Struthio camelus: one gene and its partners. The protein of the gene in region 2 interacts with the protein of the main gene of each other region in a biochemical or structural test. Links are inferred from orthologs where the notes say so. Each region holds a gene or a part of one and is shown on either strand. Other genes may lie near its edges.

Region 1 (7,552 bases), on a different chromosome or scaffold from region 2:
GTAACGAGGAACTCTAATCTGTGAAGAGATGCTTAACAGACTACTGAACAATTTCATGCAGCTTCACAGAGAAGCCAAATAATGTCGCGTAACATCTTGATTTAAGACAAGTGACAAAGCCATAGTATCTTTGACTAACACATAGAAATAGGACACTTTCAGGCTCCGAGTCCCTTCATCAAAACTGACCTCTTTTTCCAAATGCATCAGCTGGTCCAACTTAAAAAAAAAAAAAATAGTAGTGCCATCTTTGCTATTTTGCCTTCCTTGATTCTTTATCCGTACCCTGGGGACACAGAAAGCCTAATGAACAGGATATTTTTAAAATTAACTCTAGGCCCCTTAATCTTTACCAGCTTAAGCTAAACGGGAACTGTTTTTGGAGCACACTGTGCTCAGTACAGTCTTGTGGATGTGGATGGTTTTACTGAATTCTATGGGACCAGTCACCTATTTAAAATTGAAAATATGCCTTAAAATTTTCCACCACTGGATGCTGATCTTCTCATTTCGAGCTTCTCTTTTTGAATAAAACAGGAAAAAGGTCATGTTCACCTCTCAGCCCTGCCTGAATGAATCAGAGAAGGTTCAAGCTGTAACTGTTGGGAAACAATTATCAAATCTCTACCTCCCCAAGACTCTGCCCTGAGAGCTTTAGCTGGAACATACAGCTCTTCATTGTTCCTCAAGAAACCAGGAGTTTAATAATAAAAGCACTGACAGGAAGCTTCACTTTGTCAGAACGTATTGCGTGCGATGGGAAAAGCAGTTACCTCAACACAGGTACTCCTTCAGCCAGCCTTTCTCAAGAAGCTCTGTGGAAGAACAGTACAGGAACATGTCAGAACAGTCCCACAGTAGCTGCAACCTACTTTCAGTTTCTGAAATTGCTGCCAAAAACCAGTGTCTCTGCCCTATGCAATAACATATTTCTAATTTTTCTGCTCAAAGCTGCACACTTTTGTTTTTAGTTTGCAGTCCGCTTTTAAGAATTTCTGATACATGCAGATTTAAAAAGGTACAGTCCATGGACTAGATTTTTGTATGAGTAAAAGGAAATCTTTGTACCGCTCAGCCACAAAACACTTAATGTATCTGCTCGCTCATATTGCATAACTACCAAGATAAATAGCTATCTGCAGCTGTTACTAGCAGTGTCTTGTATCTGAGACCCTGAGGTAGGAAATGTTTACTGAACTGGCCTAGTGACAACAAAGAAATCGGAAAACAGGCATTTCCAATTTGTTCGAGGTTTGCACCGCATCATGTTTGGAAACCCAGATGTTTTACTTAGAACAGACAAAGGAAACTGCATTTTATTTCTGGAGGTCACCAGAAAAAAAAAAAAAAGACACCACCTCTGTGGAATGCAGCTTTTAAGAAATGACAGCTCTGGGAACGTTTCCTCACGGGTACACAGCTCCTCAAGCACAACAGCCCCCCCGCCCCAAAACACGCGTGAAACTCCTCTTTTAACAATAGCCACGTTTTTTAAACGTGAGCGAAGTTAAGCCCAGGACGGCGCTGGCCGGGGCGAGCTCCGCGGCCGCAGGGCCCGTTCCCGCACGGCAACGCCGCGCCGCCGCCCCCGGCAGCCGTGTCGCGGCGGGCAGCGCCCGGCCCCGGCCCTTCCCCTTCCCCCGGCGATGCTGCATCATCGGCCCGGGCCGGGCCGCGCTGCCCCGCCGCGGCCCCCACTCACCTGCGCGATGCGCCGCGCCTCGGGCTCGGCGACGGCGCTAGGCCGCGCCCTCCGGCCCGGCCCAGCCCGGCCCGGTCCGGCGGCGGCGCCCCGAGCAGCGCGGCGAGGCGGCGGCGGCGGCGGCGCCAGCCCGGGGGAGGGGCCGGGGGCCGGGCCGCGGCGGAGGCGGCCCCGGCGGAGGCATTTCCGTGCCCCTCACGGGCGGTGGCAGCGCGTAACGGGCGGCGGCGGCGCCGCCGGAGGAGCCCCCGCTCGGCAGGGCACGCGGGCATCATTTTAAGCCGTTTCCCCCTCTCCCCCAAATAACTACGCCCCGATTTCTCGTCGCAGCTGTTCTACCACCGCCGCCCCCGGGCGCGGGCTTCTTGCCTGCCTTCAGCTGATGTGCGGCACCGCCGCACCTCCACCGCCACGGTTCGGCGGCCAAAAAATACGACATAAAAAATAAAATCTCAGTTTGGCAGCAGAGGCGAAGTTGCCCCCGCGCTTCAGCGCAGCCAGGGTTTGACCCCGGCTAAGGGGGGGGGGGGGGGGAGAAGAAACGTACTGTTCCAACCAGCGGGGAGGTTTACAAAACAGAGGCTATGTGACAACACGTACTTGTAAAAACACCTTTTATCCGAGCCTTCGGCACGCCGCAAAGATAACAGTTACTACACTGCGCCTAGCACGGAGCCGGCCCCGTCCTGCAGAGCGCCGAGCCGCGCCTCAGCCTGCGAAAGCCAACGCCAGCAGGGCGCTGCCACGAACCAAGCCGCCCTTGGGACTTAAAATCACCTTTAACAGCGAGACCCTGCTTGTCATGAGTTTCCCTTCCCCCCCCCCCCCCCCCCAGGCGGCGAAGCCCGACGAGAAGCCAAACTCGCCCGCCGCCCGCTCCAGCGTTGCCAACGGCCGCACGGCGCGGTACGGACGCCGCCACACGGGGCGGACTCGGGGTCCGCTACCTCCACTCGAAGCGGGGACAAGTCTGGGGGGGGGGGTGAGCGGCGAAGTGAGACAAAACGTGGCCAAAACCTGGAAGGGGGTTGAGGCGGCCTCTCCGCCAAACCCCACGGAGCCCCCAGAGTGGAAAACGCCGTGAGGTGAATAGCTGGGGGGGGGGAGGCGGCCAGGCGGCGCCGCGCCGGTCACAGCCGGCCTGGGGGGGGGGAGCAGCGACGCCTCGCAGCTCCTGCTGTAACTCACCTCTCCGAAAGCCTCTCAGCGGTGGCCAGAGGGGGGGGGGCGCCGCTGAAGACGGATATCAGAATATATATGTGTCTGCGTGTGTGTATCTATGTCCCTCTCTCTCTCTCTATACCGGCACAGGGGGAGGGCGCCCCTGCCCTCAGCGCCTCAGGGCAGGCGGCGACCGCCGGCTTCGGCGCCGCCCTGTGACGCCGTCGCCGCGCGCCCTGCGCCGGGCAGCGGACGGGGGCAGCGCGGCGCCATGCCGGCCAAGAAGTCCTTCCGCCGCCGCCGGGCGGGCTCCGAGGAGGAGGAGGAGGACGAGCAGGTGGCCGAGGAGGTCAGGTGGGTCGGGAGCCCGTTGCGGCCGCGGGGGGACGCGCCGGCGGCTTGTAACATGGCGGCCGGGGCGTCGCTGACAGGAGAGGAGCCCCGCGCCCGGGCGCTGCCACCGGCGGGGCTCCCCCGGCCACGCAGGACAGGCCGAGTGTCCCCGTGGGCGGGGTGGGAGGGACGCAGACCAGCGCAGCTGCGTGGAAGGGGCTTGCGTCGTGTCGCGCCGTCGTGTCGCGCCGTCGTGTCGCATCGCATCATCCTATCGCGTTGTCCTATTGCATCATCGTGTCACGCCATCGCGACGCATCATTGCCGTGTACTGTCGCGTCACATCATCACGTCGCGCCGTCGTGTCGTGTCGCGCTGTCGTGTCGTGTCGCGCCGTCCTGTCACGTTGTCCTGTCGCGTCGTCATGTCACGCCATCGCGTCGCATCATCGCCGTACGCTGTCACGTCACGTTATCACGTCGCCTCATCGTGTCGTGTTGTCGTGTCGCGTCGTCCTGCCGCATTGTCGCGTCAAGCCATCGTGTCACATCATCGCCATACACTGTCGCATCACATCATGGCGTCGCGCTGCCGTGTCACACTGTCATATCACATCATCGCGCTACACTGCCACCTCGTGCCGTCGCGGCGCGGCGTCGCCTCGTGCCCGTCGCGGCGTCGCCTCACAGCGCGATGGACCGGCGCGCAGGCCTGCGGCGCCACCGTCCTTTGCGTCGCTGCCGGAGCTGAGCCCCCCGGCCGGGCGCTGGCAGGGCCGCGATGCAGGGACATCCCGGTGGTGCTGGCGACGCTCCCTTCGCCCTGCAGTGCAGGGGGGGTCTGTACTTGGCAGGGGCTCCGGCCGCGCTGAGAAGCGTTAGGCCCGCTCTGGTGGGTGTGTTACAGCTTTAATATTTGTTGTCCAACCTTTGCTTTGCTGCCAGCTGTTCCCGTCTGGCTTCTCCCTTCCTTTGAGACGTTCCAGACAAGAAAACGGTTGCATTTGTAGTTTGTCAACCCAATTAGTCAAGACAACCGGAGAGGCCGTACTTTAAGGGAATGGGAGCCAGCTAGAACAGTATCCAGTCACTGTTGACTAACACAGACTCTCCTGAGGCCTCTCCCTTGGCACCAGCCCTCTTGCTGTCTTTGTGCGCCATTTTTACGCGTTACTTCTCTTCCACTTCTACCATTTGGAAATGGGCGCTCACTGATAGTCCGTTTTATTTTCAGATCTTTGCATTCCACGCAAGATTTTTCTTGTTATTTTATCTCTGAAAAATATTTTATGATGCATATTTCATGGTAGATATTGAAAGTATGTATGATTAAGGGAGATTGAAATATCTGAAGAAATTAAGAATGCATGTAAGTCCATATATAGACATCCATATATTGATACTTAACAATGCAACTTTTTTCTGAGCCATTCCCGTAGCGGTGTGTTTTGATGACCACTCAGTTTTTCTACATTCACTTGAAGCTGCTGCTAGTTTCGCTCTAATCAGCTGCTTCATTAGTTGCCCCTTCCTCTGAGAAATGACTGTGTTATTTTATTAGCTAATGTGAAATGTTGGAGGATTGAAAGGGTCCCACGCTTATTTAATGAAATTCTGATTTGGTGACCCTCTTTGTTTTACTCTGAGGAAAATACTGGCTGGGGATCTTAACAGACTAAGTACAGGAACAATAATGCTTGGCTCTTTCTTCCCATATTGGCCTCAAATTAAAGTCTTTCAGTGTTTGGATGCTTCTTTCCTCAGCTGAGGGAAGATATGTTGAAGGGACATATCCCGGTAGGTGCCACGTGGTTCTTCTGATTGCTTAAATAAATGGAATTGCTTAAATAAAATGAAATGGAAAATATACGTCATTCTAATCTGTAACCAGAAAAGTGGACACTCATATGCAGAGGTTTAGGGCAAAGTCTGTCTGGAAGTTCCTGTGTTAAGTGCAGAAAATGTTGATTCTTAATTAAACCCAAAGCATAAAGTCCTAAGCTGAATGTTTTTTTCTCCAGGTTAAAACTTGAGGAAGCCAAAGAAGTTCAGAGCCTCAGAAAACGACCCAATGGGGTGAGGTAAGGGATATAGTACGAAGGAGGTGAACTTGTGTTTTGTCTGATGGCGTAACGTAACAGTAAACTTCTCTGCTGTTATTTGCCTTCTTTCAGTAGAAATAGCTACCTGGCCAACAGCACCAAAAGTGTGTTTTAGGCAGAGGACTTCTTATATTAAAGCCTGAAGATGGAAAAGAGGGTATATTAGGTATAGTGACACAGCGTGCAAATCTGGTCTATATCCCAGCCATGAAGAAAAAGATTAAGATTGGGATTTAACATGAATTGTCTTCTTATCAAATTACCACATTGCCTTGCTTTTGCCCTCTACGTTGAATCATGTCATCAGAGATTTGCTGTATTGGCCACTTCATCTGTACTGTACATATTACAGAGTGATACAGGGTTTACACTGGACTGTCTCACATCTCTTCTGTCCTAAATTCCCTCTCCCCTTTCTCATCTAGTGCCACTGACTGGTGAGTTGAAATGTGCACCAGCAATGAGCTCTGTTCCTTATTCTGGTGACTCACTGTAAGTCACTTAAATCTGTCTGCCTTAACTTCTTACCTCTCAGAGACAGTCATAGTTCCTCTATCCATAGAGCGGGATTAGGAAGCCTGACAGTTTTGTATTACTAAAGCGTTTGAGGCTGTCTGATAGATTTAGAGAAAAGTAAAAAAACACAGTAGTGTTGGTAATATTTTCCTTCTACTGAATTTTATTTACCTTCTGTATCTGGTTGACTAGTGCTGCAGCTCTGCTTGTTGGGGAGAAGCTGCAAGAAGAAGCAACGCTTGTGGTAAGTGCTAGATTCTTTTCATCACCTCAGTTTCACATAGTGATGTGAAAACATCAGTGTGGTCCAGTGGACAGGACCACACTGTGAGTCCAGTCGGGGATAGGACTGATGGTCACATCTTAAAACCTGTAAGTTTTCTGTGTTTTTATCCAGATTTTGAAGACTAGCCTAAAACTAGAGGAACGCTTCAGGATTTCTCATTTCATGTTTTACAGGATGACCCATTTAAGATAAAATCTGGTGGGATGGTGGACATGAAGAAGCTGAAAGAACGGGGCAAGGACAAGTGGGTGTATATGAGCTCCGAAAACCTTTTTTGGACTGGTCTCTAATCACAGCTACTAGTGAATTAACCAAATGATGCATTGTTTTGAAGAATAATATAACTGTATCAATTATATTATTATAACAATATATTATGTATTATATTATGCAGTTATGTTCACTATATATTGTCATTAATTATATTATTATAATATCAATATAACGCAGCTTGGCTAGTTACCCTTATCGTAATATGTCAAATTAGTTTATAAAACAACTGTTACATTGTGATTTCCATTTAGGATTAATGAAGAGGAAGATCTGAACTTGGGAACTTCCTTCTCAGCTGAAACCAACAGGCGAGATGAAGACGCTGACATGTAAGTTGTTCTGCGTTGTGTCTGTGGTGCTGAATCTGGACCTGTGATCCTCTCACAGGTTTTTTTTGTTGTTGTTGTTTTTTTTCCCCCCTTCTGTCTTGGACAGTAAGAGTTCCCAAAACATCTTCCTCCTCCTTCCTGAAACTTTCATTTACTGTTGCACCTTCTGGCTGCCAGACTGGAGAAGGCTGTTTCTTGAACAAAGCTGGGAGGTGCTGACCAGCCAGCTAGCATGGTGGCATCATGGCATTATATACCAGTGGTGGCCTTCTCTGCTGGTTGTGGCAGACCTTGGAGGATCTGATCTTTTCTTGGACAGAGTAGCAAATGTTTTACTTGTTGCAGTTTATATTAGCTGAGTGGTTTTGGAGTGATTATTCATTCCTCTCCCCTAGCTGCTGTGATAGTGATGCAGCTGTGCTCAGCAGTGCTGGAACAGAGTACAGAAAACATAACTAAATACCACGTGTCCCTTGTGTGCTGGTGTTCAGGATGAAGTACATTGAGACTGAGCTGAAGAAGAGGAAGGGGATTGTGGAGAATGAGGAACAGAAGGTGAAGCTTAAGAATGCCGAGGACTCTCTGTACGAGCTGCCAGAGAACATCCGTGTCTCCTCTGCCAAGAAGACTGAAGAGATGCTGTCCAACCAGATGCTGAGTGGCATTCCTGAAGTGGACCTGGGAATTGAGTATGTAGTTCACGGATCCGTTAGTTATGGCCTGAATTGCCAGAGAGTCCTGTGACTAGAAACTGTTGATTGGCAAGGCAGTGGCATATCTGGATTATACATCCTCAGCTTGGCCCAGTGATGGGACTGAGCCTTGTTCTTGATTAGCACAATATCTAGAAC
Region 2 (7,716 bases):
ACCTCTTCAGCCTTTAAAATTAATTTAAGACTACTGGTAAAAGGTCTTGATGATAAGAAGTTAAAAAAGGTTTATGTCACCGGTACTGTAACATCTTTGTGTCCTGTGAGCTGGTCACATTCACTTTATAGCACTGCGAAGTTGATAAACTAATTTACAGAACAACGTTTCCTACAACTATAACATATAGGGACTTTGAAGAGCTACTAAAGAGCAAGACCACTTAGACAGAATAAATTAATACTTCAAATATTTTATAAATAGCAACAATGAACATCATTATTATCCCAAAAAAATGTTTATCATTATTATCCCCAAAAATATTTTTTTTTTCCCAGTGTTTCTACTGCCACTCAATTTGAACTGATGCCATTAGTCAGCATGATCTGCTTCCATCTTGTGATGTTACAGCCTTATAATTGCAAGGAGGTAAAGAGAAATCTTGATGTCATCTAACTATTGCTGACAAGCAGGATAAGGGAAAAATCTGAAGCATAACACATCACTTTCAAGATTACAGAATTACCAAACTAAAATAGACTCCTATCAACACTCCTCTCCTCAACCCCTTCTTTCTCAAGAGGACACCCATTATCATCATCCCTGCCTGACTTCACATGCACTGATGTTAAATCATTGAGTGCTAGGATTTGTACTTTCTCTGTAAATAAAACTGCTATCTCTATATAGCAGAACTATAGACCTCTGTGGACACAATGCCTGCTGTAGTAATGTGGACACAAGTGATGCTGAAACATTGAAACACAGTAAGCAAGCGCAGAAATAGAATTTAACTTAGTTGGGAAACCATTTGGGATTTTCTGCCAAAAATATATACCTCTGCTCTAGGTTTCTTTTCTTTTTTCAGTTGCTTAATGGATTCAGTCCTTCTTTCTTTCTCCTTTTTTCTCCTTGGTTTTCCTATAGATTTTTTGGCTGTCTCTTCTTCAAAATCATGTTTATGTTTTCTGTATTTTTTCCCAGATTTTAGGGGTCTCTCCTCTCCCAACTCATTCTCAGGAAAGTCCGACTTTTTGCTCGTTTCAAAGTTTTCAACTTGCAATCGGTCACCAGTGTCACTGTCCTCACTATCCAGCAGACCTTGGCGAACTCGATGAGATTTTTTGTTCTTCTGGGCAGTAATGTTCTCCTTTTCCTCTCCATTTTCCATGACTCCACCCAGAGTATCATTCTTTTTAGAAGAGCCACTATCTTCTTCATGTTCACTTTCACTATCCCGAAGCAACCTTTTGCTTTTTGTTTTTTTACTTAGAAAAATCTCTTCCTCTGAATCTGACAAAATATATTAAAAAAGGGATGCATGTTATAGAGAGGTGAACTCCATTAATAAGCAATCACTTAAATACAGCCTACATATAAGCCTACTAAATTTCACAGATTTCAACAATTATAGCAAAATAACTTGAATTCAAAATCCACTTGTTTCCTATCATGCAATACATAATTGACCCAAACTGATGCTATAGGTTTTTAGACTTAAAAAAGCTAAAGACCATTCACAAATAATTAGTAACAGCCCCTAAAATAAAAATAAAAATACAGTAACTAAATAAGTGCATATCATGTTGCCCTTGGTAGATTAAGCAAATCAAAAAAAGAAAGAAAATAAGCAATTAAGATATTCACATCCCATTTATCTTTTTGAACCTCAAGAACTGGTTTTCTGATGTTTTCAGATATCTGTCTGCCCGCATTCTTAGCGGCCAAAAGGGCAGTTTGGATTCATACAGGTGCAACAAAAACACGCAACTTTCAGAAGGTCAAAGATCATGTAGTCTCAACTTTCACTATTGAAGACAATCACCTCCAGGCACGATTTACAGAAATATTACAGACCTCTGTCATCAAGAGATGCTCTCTCCTTGTTGAGGTGACCTGGAGAGCCTGTTTCACAGCTGCCCTGTCCACTGTCAGAATCACTATCAGTGGTTTTCTGCAAGTCTGATTTCAAATCTTCTAAGTGAAACTACAAAGCAAAGTAAAATCATCCTTAATATGGTAAGTGTTGTTTATGTAGTAATGACTCATGCAGTTTAACTTAGTCCAAGACCTTGGCTAACTCTTTACATAGGAATATATGCACACATATTATTAAGAATTAATTCACCTTTACACGGAGGGGAATTATGCAACATCAACCTTTATTGGCTTTTAAATATGTTTAATGTGAGCTTGCACAAGGAAAAAAAAGAACATACTGGAAGATCTCTACTGACATTACTCAAAATTACTAGAATGAAGTAATTGATGAGAAACTTTGAAATTTCATCTCCGAAAGCGGCATTTTACACAGTGCAGGGGGAGGGACCAGACGCTTGTGGGTGCTCTCTAGAAAGCAGCCCTGAGACGAGGCGCGGGGGCCGCGCACGGCGACGCAGGCCGGAGGGAGAAGGGTGCTGGCCCCGCACACGCGGGCCCCGCGACGCTTCGCTCAGGGCCGGCCCCGCTCCGTGCCGGCCCCGGCCGCCCGGGGCCCGCAGCCGCCGGGGCCGGCCCTCACCGGCCGCCCCCGGTGACGGCGGTGCCGCCTAGGCCGCAGCGCCTCTCCCAGCACGCACCGCGCCCGGAACGGGCACCAGCCTTCCCAGCATGCACCGCACCCGCCCCCCGACAGGGCAACCAACTTCCCAGCATGCACCGCCCGCGCTAAGTGGAATGAGCCTCCGCAGGGCACGCTGGGAAGCGTAGTCCGTCCGAGGTACGGGGGAGGCGAGTCCGGCGAAGGCGCGAAGCCGCCGGCGCGCTCCGGTAATCGAGAGGACACTGCCGCCTCACTCGCTGCCCGTCCCCGCCGGCCTCCCCGCCGCGACCAGAGGAGCACCAAGCCCACGGGAAGGCAGCGGGCCGCCGCTGGCCGGCCGCACAGAGCAGCGGAACTCACCTCACCAGGAGCCGCCGCCATAGCTCAGCCCGAGCGCCCACCCCGGCACCCGCGGCCCGGCGCCACACAAACCCTCCGGCCGCCCAGCCGGGTAGGAAACCGCTTCGAGTCTTCGCGCGCTGCCCAAGGCCCGCCCCGCCTCTGGGGCCAACCAATCGGCACTTAGAGCTGCCCTGACAGCCCCGCCCCCTGCGAGCTTTATTGGACGATTTCCCGCGAAGTCCCGCCTCCCCTCGCCTCGCCCAATCGTGGCTCTCCCTTCAAGGCTTTGCACGCCCTATAAGCCCGCCATTGGGCAGCCCCCTCCCCCTGCTGTCAGAACCTTGGAGTGACTCGTTGGCCGCGGGGTGGTTGGAGGGGTGCGCTGCCAGCCGCTCTGGCCGCCGTGGCGGTGCGAGGTGCCCTGACGGTGGCGGCGGGCCGGGCCGTGGGCCCGGAGCGAGAGGGCCTTGCCGGGCCGCGGGGGTGGCGTGGCGAGCCCGCTGCGGGGGCAGAGCCGCGTCGGCGTGGGCCTGCCCCCGCGCGTCCGGCGGCGGTTAGGAGTGGGGGTGTACCGGCCTTCCCGCTGCCGGGCGGGTGAGTACGGATAAGCGCTCGCACCGGAGCGCCGGAGCATCCCGCGAAGTGCAAACAGGAACCTGCTGTCCGCCCATGAAGGCAAACCCGGGAGGGGAAGGGGGAAAAAAGTATATACTCTGAAGTAGTTGTTATCCATCGCAGTGCTGCGGGGGATGCTGAACAGATGGGCTAATCTGCTATGATAGTTCCCATCTAGCCCACACATCCTAGAATGGAGAAGTGAGAAAAGCAAACGCCCCTGAGGCTTACTGCAGGCGTCACAACGCAATGCTGGTTTCTGTGGCGGTATTTAGTAACGGGAGAGGCAGCTGCTGGCACTGCAAAAACATCATTAATGAATATGGTTAAGATACCGTCTCTCAGGTAACCTGCCTAAGTAGATGTAAAAGTAGATGTAAAAGATGTAAAAGAGAAAGGAAATAAAATGAATGTAGATGTTTTCAGCATAAGGGTGGGAGAACTTTCAGAAATAAGGTCCTGACCACTTTGGCTGTCAGGATGCCGCAACTTATACTTATTTATCAGGTTAATTGCTTTTCTGCTTTTTTTTTTTAAGCTTTTCATGCGTTAAATACAGGCTTCTTTTGTCATATTCAGCATCTTACAGGACCAAGCCTTTGTACTGCAGATTCCATGAGGCAGAGATTGTGTATTTGTTTTTTAAGTACTGTTTAAATAGCACTATGCACACATATGTATGCTGAATAATAGCATAGAAATGTTGCTGGCCAGCATGGGTTTTTTTTTTTTTTACAAGTCTTGTAACGCTGGTGTTTCCCTCAAATATTCAGCTAGTGTCAGGCAGTTATGAGACCTGCAGATTTGATTTTCTTTTAAAAGGTTTTTGATGCTTCTACTTGTAGAGAAGGTCTTGAAAAAATAAATGTTGCAGGTTTAAAAAAAAGCAAATAAAATGGACACAGCATTTATTATTTACAGAATGTTTTGACTTCTGACCTACTTGTGAGTCAGCTGAGAATTGTTGACTTAACAGAACTCAATGGTAGCAAGAGAAAAGTGGGATGTGCAAGGAAGCCGTTCACTAAAATAGCAAAGCTTCTTAAAAGGCAAAGCATCAGTAACCCCTGGGCTGAAAAAGCAGAGACAAACTGTGTTAAACTGCAGGTAACAAAATCAAAACTACTGGGTTGCACTGCATGTCTAGGAGCATCTCAGCAAGCAGAGCGCTGGCAGGACCCTTGATTTTAGGTTCCTGCACGCTGTGTCCTCCGCGACCTAAACATCTGAAATCCAGCGTCCGTCAGCCCCTTTCTCTCCCAAGGCGTATCCTCAGCCTTATGAGATCCCTCCTGCGGCTATGCAAGACAGAGGGTCTAGCGGTTGCTTCTGCAGCAAGGGCTCTACTTTAAGGGCCTCTCCCTGGCTGTTAATTAAAACTAATAATAAAATAAAGCCTACCAAAGTTATTGTCTGTGAGCCCACCCCGTTGCCAGTGCTGGTTGAAACCAGCCCGTGGGATCTTCCCTGATGGAAGGGGGAAGAGAGGTTGACCAAAACAAGCCCAAAAATGGGTGTACGGTGTGAGTCCTGAAAGGTGCACCAAGAGTTTAATAACCAAACTAGCTGGCTTAATAACCAAACCAGCTAATTCCCTACCACAGTACTTTTTCAGAAGGTGCCTGAGTGACATCCCATGGTTATTATTGATCTCTGCGTCAGCTGTTAGCTGCTGGGTAGACACCGATCATTAGCCCTGGCAAACAAGCCTATCGCACTTACTACACATTTTTCGCCCACAAAATTTGTTAGTGGAAGTGTTGGCCCTGCTTACAGCCCTGAAGGGCATTAAAATTTGCAGCCGTTCACGGTGACTTTTACACGTTATTTTTTTCAGGTATTTTAACCAGAATTACTGCTGTTTCGCTGGTGTAGGAAGTTATACCGGGTGTAATTAAGTTAGGCGAGTTCCCCGTTTCGGGGGTGGGGGACGGGAAGAGCGGAGGAAGTCGTTACCGCGGGCTGTGGGGTTTAGGCGCTGTATTTTGCAATGGAAGATAAACGCAGAGTTTGAGAGACGCAGTGTCACTATTTCCAAGCTTCGGGTGGTCGGAGGGCTAATTCTTCAACCTGTGAAATTCTGGAAGGAGAGGAGAGAGAGAGGGAAAAAAGGAAGTTCTCTAATAAAAGGACCTGAGTAAATACACCCGTGCAGTCAGTAAAGGAGCTTTACTGCGCAGAGATGCCAAAAAGGGGAGGGGGGGGCTGAGTTCCACCTCCGAGGGCAGAGTGCGGGGGAAAACCTGCTGATTTCTGACAAAATGCCCCCAAATACACGGGGTGGGGGCCGGGGGCGGCGCTGCTGTCATGGCGGGGGCGGCCCCGTCAGGGCGGCGCTGTCATGGCGGGGGCGGCCCCGTCAGGGCGGCGCTGCGAGGGCGCCGCCCCCCCCGCGCGCGGGAAGCGGCCGCCGGCGCCGCCCCTCACCTGTTGCCGCGCCGGCGTCGAAGGGGTGCGGGCGTGCGCGCCCCCGGCGCCAGGGGGCGGAGCGCGTGCGCGCGCGTGCCCGCGGCGCCGGCCAGCGTGGAGGCGCCTCTTCGTCCTCCTTCTCCTCCGGCGGCTCCTGCTCGCTCGCGTGCGCGCGCGCGCGCGCGGGGAAGGGGGGGGTGGCGCGCGGCGGCGGCGGCGGCGCGCGCGGGCTCGGCGGCAGCGCAGCGCAGCGGGGGGATTGTTTGCGCCGCCGCTCGGCCGAGCGCAGCGCGGTAGACCGCTCCCCGCCGCCGCCGCGTCCCGTTCCGCCACCCCCCCCCCTCACCCCGCAGCCAATATTCCCGAGATCAAGCGTTACGCGGCGGCGGCGGGGCCGGCGGCGGGGCCCGGGGCGGTCGTCGGGGCCGGCGGGGACCGCAGCGAGGCCGCCGCCGCCATGGAAGCGCTGGGACCCGGTGAGAGCCGCGGGCGGGCCGGGCCGGGCCGGGCCGAGGGCGGGCGCGGCCTGGCGGGGCGCGGGCGCCGCCGGCCCTGTCAGGCGCGAAGGGCGGCGGGGCCGGGCCGGGCGCAGCGCGGAGGAGGCCGCGGCCCGGCGGGAGCTGCCGCAGCCGGCGCGGCCTGGGCGCGGAGCGGGGCCGCGCTGCAGGCCGGCTCTGACCCGCCGCTCGGCCCGGCCCGGCCCGGCTCCCCCCGCCGGAGAGGAACTTGGCCGCGAAACTTGGCGGGCGGGTCGCAAACAGCAGAAGTTTGGTGTTGGGGCTGCCGGGCGCCTTCCCCTCGCCAGGGCAGATAGGGCATTGCCGTAAGCGCAGCTGCGGGGCTCTAGGCGTGGAAGTGACTTGGAATCGCGATGGCACGGAGGTGTGACAGCACGCGTGGGCTTCCGACCCTGCCCGCCAGCGCGCTTGCGGCAGGTCTTTTCCTAGTGACGAGTTGTAGTGTTTGGCGTGAGTCTGTTTTGTTTTTAAGGGCTTACGGTTGATACTTTCTGGAAGGGTGAGCGCTGATTTTTCAAACAGTCTGCCGTTCAATATTGGCCTTATTACGCATGTGGCGTTTTCCTAATTCTATCTTATTCTGTGGCTCTTCTTCCATAAAATGTCTGCGAGATGTATTTCTTGACCAAAGCGGTCCAGTGTATGTTATCTACCATATCTGTGATCAAACCCTTGGTGTAATCGAAGTAGTGTTAATTTCGGTGCAATAGGAAAGTTTACTGACATGAAGATGCAATTCCAGACAAACGTCAGAAGAAGATTTTAAGGTAGTTAGTGGGGGGATTGCTTTCAGCGTCTAGCATACTGATGTATGGTGTGGTAGGTACTCTCTGACTTCTAAAGTAGGAGTAGATCCTCTTTTAGTTTTGTAAAACTACTTCCTGTCTGAAGCAACTTGGTTGAGGGTAAGCTGTACATGATCAACACATGGTAGAAGAAATCAAGAGTAACAGCTTATTTAACCCTGCCTGGGCTGATTAGGCCAGAATCATGATAAAATCGGTGTGACTTGCAGGGAAGCCTGGCTTCAAATGAGAAAGCAGCTTTTAGCTTATTCTGTTTAAAGTTACTTCTTAAAAGATTTCAGGGAAGATGATGTAACTTTGATCTCCTTTTGTCAAAACTGGCCTAGGTCAGTGTTGCCACGGCTGTTTACAAAACTTGTCAATACTGAAGAAGGAAAATGGGTAAATATAGTTGTCATTTAATCTCTTGCAGGAGGTCAGTGCCTGCACTACTTCAGACTAATTAGCACGGGATTAATGGATCATCTCTCTAGTATCCAAATAA
Region 3 (7,072 bases), on a different chromosome or scaffold from region 2:
GGGGCGATCTCAGAAACCTAAGGTAAATAGCAACAGGCTGCAGACTAGGTTGTACTTACGATCTCATCCAGCTAATAATTCCTCTTGTGATGGAGTTGTGTGAACCTGTCTGCTGGATCACTCTTGCCAGAATATTTTCCAGCAGTTACTTTGGCAAAAGAAGTTGAAGTCTTGTCAATACAGAGGACCAGAACAGCATAAAAACTTCCAAAGAAGAAAAATATGGATGGAGCAAAACAAGACAAGGACACAGACTTCAGAAACATCCTAGCGAGAGCTCCTTCAGCAGTCTGGGTCCTGCCTGGTCAGTTATGTTCAGGGATTAGTTTATGCAAACACAGGCACAGAGCAGCACGAGAGATGATCAGGAAAAGAGAAACGACAAGGTTAACCTGCATAGTTTGAAAATAAGGAGCCAAGGGGGGAAACGGAGGGCTTGCTGAAAGCACTGAAGGAGAGAAAAGCTATTTTTATGAAGGACAACACTGGCACAAGAACAAATAGGTATGTACTGGCCACAGTCAGCAGAATTTGAAGCAAGTTCCAATCACTACAGCTGGAGGATAACAGATCAACCTAGCAAGAAATCCAGACTGTCCTAAAGCAGCATGGACAAGCCATTGAAAATATGCCACTACAGCCTTCCAGTGTAAAAAGCTGTGCCTCGTCTTTGCGACCCAACTGCTCTTCAGAACAAGTCTCCAGCTGGACTCTTCGCTGAGTTCAGAAAAAGGAATGTCAAGGCAGGCAGTGTCTGGAGAAAGAGTTGCATAGTTGCAAAGTTTAGATATTTATGCCAAACTTAAGTGTAAAGCACTGACTTCATCAAGCTGGCAGTCTATTATTTCAACAGATAGCAGTATTTCTGCCAAAGGGTTTCAATGCCACCTGCACCGGGTACCACTACACTAGGAGCAGAAACTTCTACAGCCAGAACAGAGAATTTCCAGGTCTTACTTGCGAGAATGCTGTTAAGAGTCTAACTGTACTTTAGAGCTAGACATTGCACATAAGCTCTGACCTATATTTCTTGATAGCATCAGGTCTAGCTTCTCTTCATATATATAAATTCCTGGAACAAGGATACAGAGCCGGACCCCAGTACAAGACATACTGTAAACCTGCAATGGAAACATACCTTCCGGCTCCTTAGAAATTTCAGTTATGGTTTAGCACAGCCCCACCACTACCTCCCGAGCTTTCTAAGTAGACATTTTTTTAATTATTAAGACAGAATTGCCCGTTTCCAAATACCATGACATTTAAAATCAAGATCCTTTCTCACCTAGTTGCATCTTGCCAGTGGTGACCTTCCCCATACAAGCACTCTAACTCGTATTTGTCAGCGGCAGTATCTCCAGTTCATTCCTGGCCGAAAGAGCTCTAATATCAGCAGGGCTTCAGATGAAGAACGTTCTTTATCTCTCTTTACAATAGCGACAGCTCACGTAATGAAACTAAATTCCAGTAATAAAACTAAATTCCAGCATTAATATTTGACTGCATAGGCGACACTTCCAAAACTTCAGCAACTGACGGACACAGCTTTTACAGCCTTAAGAAAGCAGTCTCTCTAAACTTGCAGCTTAAAGACACTCTCTGTACGTTGGAACGCATCTGTGGGAAAGCACCGCCGATATTTGATAAAAGCTTCAAAACGGGAACAAAGCTTACTCTTTTCAGTCCACCCATCATCCTCTTCCCAGCAGGCTGACAGAGACCAATTTACAAACACAGTGTTAAAGAAAAAACCTAACACTCCAAAACAGAGATGTAGAAAAGGTGGTTTATTTTGTATGTAAATAAAAGCCAGGAGCTGGGGAACTAAGAAAGGAAAAAGGCAAGTACCAAGGAGCTCGGGGAGTGGCAGCATAAGCCGGTTACACATATGCATTAGGTCACTGATTAAAAAAAAAAAAAAAAACCACACACACACACAAGTCTGAGATCACACCCATGACAGTGTGACTTCAACTAGGCCAATCTGAAAATCTGAAACTGATATGAGAAACGGGGAAGGTGCAAAAGATCATATAAAGTTAGGGCACAGGAGGCAGCAAACATTAACAATGAGCTTGAAATCCATATAGATCAGTTCATGTAAATTGAAAAATCAAGCCACCGTTGAGAAAGGCTGAAGAGAACAGCTGTCTGCTTTTATTCCTCTCAGTGAAACAGATCCTGAGCAGAAGACAAAAATCCTGCGAGTACCCTGGACAAGACAAGAGTCAAACTATCCCTGGCGCATAAAGTGCGATACCGTGACAAACGCCACATCTTGCAGATGGATAAGGGGGGATACGTTTCACACACATAAAGAAGTTATAAAAGTGCTTACTGTCACCTACAGCCTTTTTTTCCCTTAGAGGAGGGACTAGGATTAGGATTTTAAAAAGTTCCTGCTCAAATACCAGCGCTAAAACTCGTTTTTTGGCAGACGACGTGCTACGTGCCCAGGGACTTTGGCTGTGCCCGTAGCTAAGAGCAACGTTTTTAAGCCCATGCCGCTTACACAGGTTTCCACCCCTTCTAACCACATCACGGCATCTGCGTTTCTGAGAAACCAGCTAATAACAGATAAGCGCCCCCCCCCCAAAAAAAAACAATCCACAACCGCCGCGGGGCCGGCCGCCTCCGCGGGGGCACCGGGAAGGCCGCCGGGGCGCCGGGCAGGCCCAGGCCGCCCCCCCGCGCCCCCGGGGGCGGCTGCAGCGCGGGGGGCGCCGGCGCCGCCGCAGCTCGGCCTGGCGGCGAGGCGAGGCGAGCCCAGCCCGCCCCGCGCTCGGCGGCCGCCGCGCCCCGCAGCCCGGCTCCGCAGGGCGCCGCTTCGAGGCGGGGGGGGGGGGGCCGCGTCCCGCCGTGACACCCGCCGCCGCCGCCGGCCCCGCTCGCACCGCCCCGGGCCGAAGCGGGGGCGCTCGGCTCGGCACCGCCCCGGCGCGGCGGCCCCGCACCGTAGCTCGCCGGCAAGGCGGCCGTACCTGGCTCCGGCGGCGCTCGGCTGGGCTCCGCGGCCGGCGGCTCGGCTGGGCTGGGCCGGGCCGGGCCGGGCCCCGCCGCTGCTCTCCGCGCCCCGCCGGCGGCTCCGCCCTCCTCCGCCGCTCCGCGGGGAGGCCGCCGACCCGGAAGCGCTCGCCCGCCGCCCCGCCCCCGCCGCGCGCGCCGCCCTATGGCAGCACCCGGCCGAAGCCGCCGCGCCGCCCGCAACCGCTTCCGGGGCGCCGCCGCGCCGGGCTCGCCCTAGCAACCGCGTTCCGTTGCTACGCGGAAGCGGCGCCGCCCGGGCCTCCCTGTCCGCCGCCCCGGCCCCGGCGCCGCTGCGCGGCTGGGGAACCGCAGCCGGATAAAACGGCCGTTGCGGGCGCTCGGCAGCGGGAGGTTCGTGGCCCGGCGCCTCCCGGGGCCGCGGCGCCGCCGCACGGAGTCCGTAGCGCGGCGGCGGCAGGCGGAAAGCAGCCTCGGGAATCGTTGCGCCCTGCAGAAGGGCCGCCGCTGAGGAAACGCTACGCTCCAGAAGCAGAAGGGTGCTGGGGGCCGTCAGCTCAATGTTTATATGCTTTCCTGCCCCCCCCCTTTTTTTTTGGAGCCGGAACTCTACGTTTCCGCACCAGCCGGGTTTTCCAGGTTTCTTCACAATTCCAGCATTCTTTGAAAGCGTTTTAAAAACTGCGTGTGGTATTTGCATAGCAGCCTTTCCGCGGGTCTGGTGCGGAAAACCTTCGTTCCTGCCGGGCAGCTCGCTAGTCCTTGAGCTGATGAAGCACTCTCGTTAGCTGACCGCAGCAGCTGAGCTCTAGACCAGGACGTAACAAGTCATCGGCACGTAGCATCTGCTAGGAGTTAGCTGCGGATTAATTTTTAAAATGGCCTGGGAATTTTTGTTTAGATCAAGAACTGAAGAGTTGAAGGGATATCTCTTCCTTACCGTCTCATATTCCCAGCGCTGGGCTTGTAAATTCTCCTGGAGTGGTGTAGTTAAGTAGCAATACAGCAGAGTTTGGTTAAAAACTTGTGTTTCACCTTTTTGTTTGCTCCTTCTCTTTTGTTGTGTATTTGCAGCGTGCAGCTGACGTAGGAGCGTGTCAGGCTGGTTAGGACCATCCGACTGGAATAGCGGCAGACACTAGGGTTACCCTCTCCAATTGAGGCAGGTAAACGTTAGCACCGATTCCTGGGCACATTATTACTACAGAAAGGAAACTCCTTGCTTCTTTTTTTTTTGAAATTGCTGAATACAGTAAAGGAAACATCTCCAGTTGAGACGGACCGTTTTATTGCTGTGGGGTGATCGGTTGAAGCTGGTGGGCATAACAATAACCCTTTGTTCAGGGGAGAGAGAAAAGACAATGAAGCGCCTGTTTAGTTATTCTGTCGACGGGAGGCACTAGCCAAACACAAGCAGAGTTAGAGTCTGAGCAATGTGGGCAGCAGGGTTGCCCTGCAGGCCAAAAGCAAACGCAAAATTACCTTGCATCGTTTTGAGGAACGCTGGACACTTGTGTGCAAAGAGGAACAGCCAGAGACTGAGTCTCCTGAGAAAAGCGTAAGAAAGAATATTTTCTGGGTCCTGCCTGAAAGAAGCAGGGGGTCTGAAAGCAGAGCAGCAGCCTTCTGCCCTTCATGCACACAGAGCAATAGGATTGCACCAAGGTCTCATTCGTTTTTCCCCGATGGAAATAAACCCCGATGATCTTTCGTTCCAAAGCGGGAGGGGGAGGATATGTAGTTCCATACACAAAAGGCCACTGTAAGCTTCACATTTACAGAAATTAATAAAAGAGAAGAGGGCATCTTGTGTTTCAGATACTGCCTCCTTATGCCAAAAAAACTCAAAACGGCAGCGTCTGCAGCAGGGAGGCTTTATTTAGAGGAGTAAGAACCAGCATGTTATACATGCTATAGTCCAACGTAGTCTGACAATAGCTTTCAGGCAATTTTCTGACTTCTGAGACTTTTCCCAATAAAGTGGAATCTGGAGACAGAACCGTCAGCACGCTTGGCGGAGAAAATCTTCACCCAGGGGATGCTGTGAGCTCAGCGGTTTCGGCAGAAGTGCCGGGGCAGTTGGATTTCCCATGGCACGGTGGGACCGTGGCAACTCGACAGCTGATGGCCCGCTCTCCTCAATGCATAAATACCTCCCCTCCGTCCACTCCTTATGGCACAGACATCTGCTCGCCTCGCCGAACAGCTGCCTCCCCTGCATGGCCTTGTCTGGAATAACAGGAGGACCAATCTCTTTCCGGTCAGATCTGTCCCGTTGGGAGCAGAAAGCTCATCCTACACACAGGGGGAAAAAAAAATCTTTTTTTCTGATGCAGTGGCAAGACAAATCTACCAGGAAAAGCTTGTGAAATGCTATGAAGCTGCAGCATTTTGTAATCATCTCACATTAATTTTGTAATTAATTTTGCAATCATCTCGCATTACGACCCTAAAGGATGGGGTCGTGTCCTGTTACTCACTCCAGCTGCATTGCCTAGCCAAAGGTGTTTTTGTCACCTGAGTCTCCCAAAATATTGGGACCTTCAGAAATCTAGCCTCTTAGGGTCTAATTTCAACACTGAGATACTTCAGGAGATGTTTTGCAGGCGGAATCTAAGTGGCGTAAATCCAATGGGGTCAGAAAGCAGAGAGGAACAGATAGGATTTCTTAGCTTCTAATTTCCAAGCACTAGTATTTACCCTTTCTAAGCACAGTATTTTTGTTATTTTTACAGCTGGTTTTGGAGCATTCAAGAGAATCCACTAACCAATCATTCCAGCAATGAACTTCCTGCGACTTTCTACCCATCTCCATGTCCTACTCTTCCCCGTTTTTCTTCTTTGCCTGCCTTCCCCAAACAGCTGGCAGTGTGCACATCGGCTTTATGGTCCAAAATTCATCCAGGAGCCAGGACAAGCAATTGGCTGCTTACAGTGTATATCTATCCAGAAGACAGGACTGGAGAAGCATTGCCCTGGAAAGGTCTAAGTTGCCCCAAGCTGAGCTAAAAAGGAGCTCCTGCACCTTCTACACATGGGGGTGTGGGTGGGGCCCTCAGGGCTGTGACATTCTCACCTTCAAGGGTCATAAAAATAATTTGGACTGTACACAGAATATCCTACATGTTGGAGGTCTGAGAGTTGTGAAAAGGGAAGAAACCTTTTTTTGCATTTCTCAGGAGCAGGGAAGAATTCTGGGATCTTCTACTGAACCCCACCAGATAGTGCTGGTAACCAACCGGACCTGAGCTCAGAGAGAGGCACAACAGCATCTGTCGAATCATATTAGCTAGTGGATGCAGTTAGCTCCAACCAGAATGTAAAAGGCAGAAATATCTTGCAGTTGGAAGAAGCAACTAGAATTCACTTGTGAGGAAAATTTTAGGTTGGGCAGGCTACGTTACCGCAGGTCCTTGTTGCTAAAAAAGCAACGTATCGCTTACTCTGCAGAGACACATGCAATCTGTGACCTTTTACTGGAAACAAGGCTAAATGCACGTTGCCCAGGTCACTGGCACAATCAAGTGTTTGTTAGCTGGAGATGCTGCTGACATCTATTGTCAGCACTAGGTATTTTTTTTCTTTTAGTGGATGTTTGTAAAAAGGGTGTTAAGTTTAAAAAGTTGAGGTTAACACATTGGTCAATGCTGGGTTACAGCGAGTGGTCTTACCTTTGGTAGCAGCTGTCAGCTTGCTCCTCTTCTGTTATATATTTTATATAAAATATAATAACTTAAAAATCCTACTTACAGAGTGCACTCATGAGCACTGGATTTTAGCTCTTTTTGTATTTCTCTCTTCCTTCCCCCCCATCAAAAATCAGTGAGTTGCAGGATTCACATGGATTTAAACAAAAGAGCATTGTTATGACATGGCCCTACTGGAGAGAGTCCAGCGGAGGGCTACACAGATGATGAGGGGACTGGAGCATCTCTCCTCTGAAGAAAGGCTGCGAGAGCTGGGCCTGTTCAGCCTGGAGAAGAGAAGACTGAGAGAGGATCTGATCAATGTGTGCAAGTATCTGAAGGGAGGGTGTCAAGAGGATGGGGCCAGCCTCTTCTCCATGGCACCCAGCGACAGGACAAGA

The links.
Region 1: of the proteins of CLSPN (region 2) and USP20, one has a biochemical effect on the other in vitro, tested with the Homo sapiens proteins (2 studies listed by BioGRID, with this or other methods). The link is inferred for Struthio camelus from reciprocal best matches to the Homo sapiens genes CLSPN and USP20.
Region 3: of the proteins of CLSPN (region 2) and CSNK1G1, one has a biochemical effect on the other in vitro, tested with the Homo sapiens proteins (2 studies listed by BioGRID). The link is inferred for Struthio camelus from reciprocal best matches to the Homo sapiens genes CLSPN and CSNK1G1.

Annotation. Positions count from the first base shown.
Region 1 is NC_090961.1:6,705,439-6,712,990, forward strand, and holds the start of USP20 (ubiquitin carboxyl-terminal hydrolase 20), read right to left. Parts: upstream 3,014-7,552; 5' UTR 2,891-3,013; intron 2,609-2,890; coding exon of another isoform or gene 2,505-2,608; exon of another isoform or gene 1,917-2,504; intron 1,815-1,916; exon of another isoform or gene 1,703-1,814; intron 816-1,702; 5' UTR 774-815; intron 287-773; exon of another isoform or gene 190-286; intron 1-189. Other genes in the region: C20H9orf78 (splicing factor C9orf78 homolog), read left to right, coding at 2,505-2,608, 3,014-3,217, 5,217-5,276, 6,006-6,057, 6,273-6,343, 6,624-6,701, 7,193-7,390.
Region 2 is NC_090964.1:10,022,918-10,030,633, forward strand, and holds the start of CLSPN (claspin), read right to left. Parts: upstream 3,046-7,716; 5' UTR 2,924-3,045; coding exon 2,903-2,923; exon of another isoform or gene 2,665-2,902; intron 1,988-2,664; coding exon 1,858-1,987; intron 1,294-1,857; coding exon 839-1,293; intron 1-838. Other genes in the region: AGO4 (protein argonaute-4), read left to right, coding at 6,780-6,876.
Region 3 is NC_090953.1:25,509,323-25,516,394, forward strand, and holds the start of CSNK1G1 (casein kinase I), read right to left. Parts: upstream 3,101-7,072; 5' UTR 2,982-3,100; intron 1-2,981.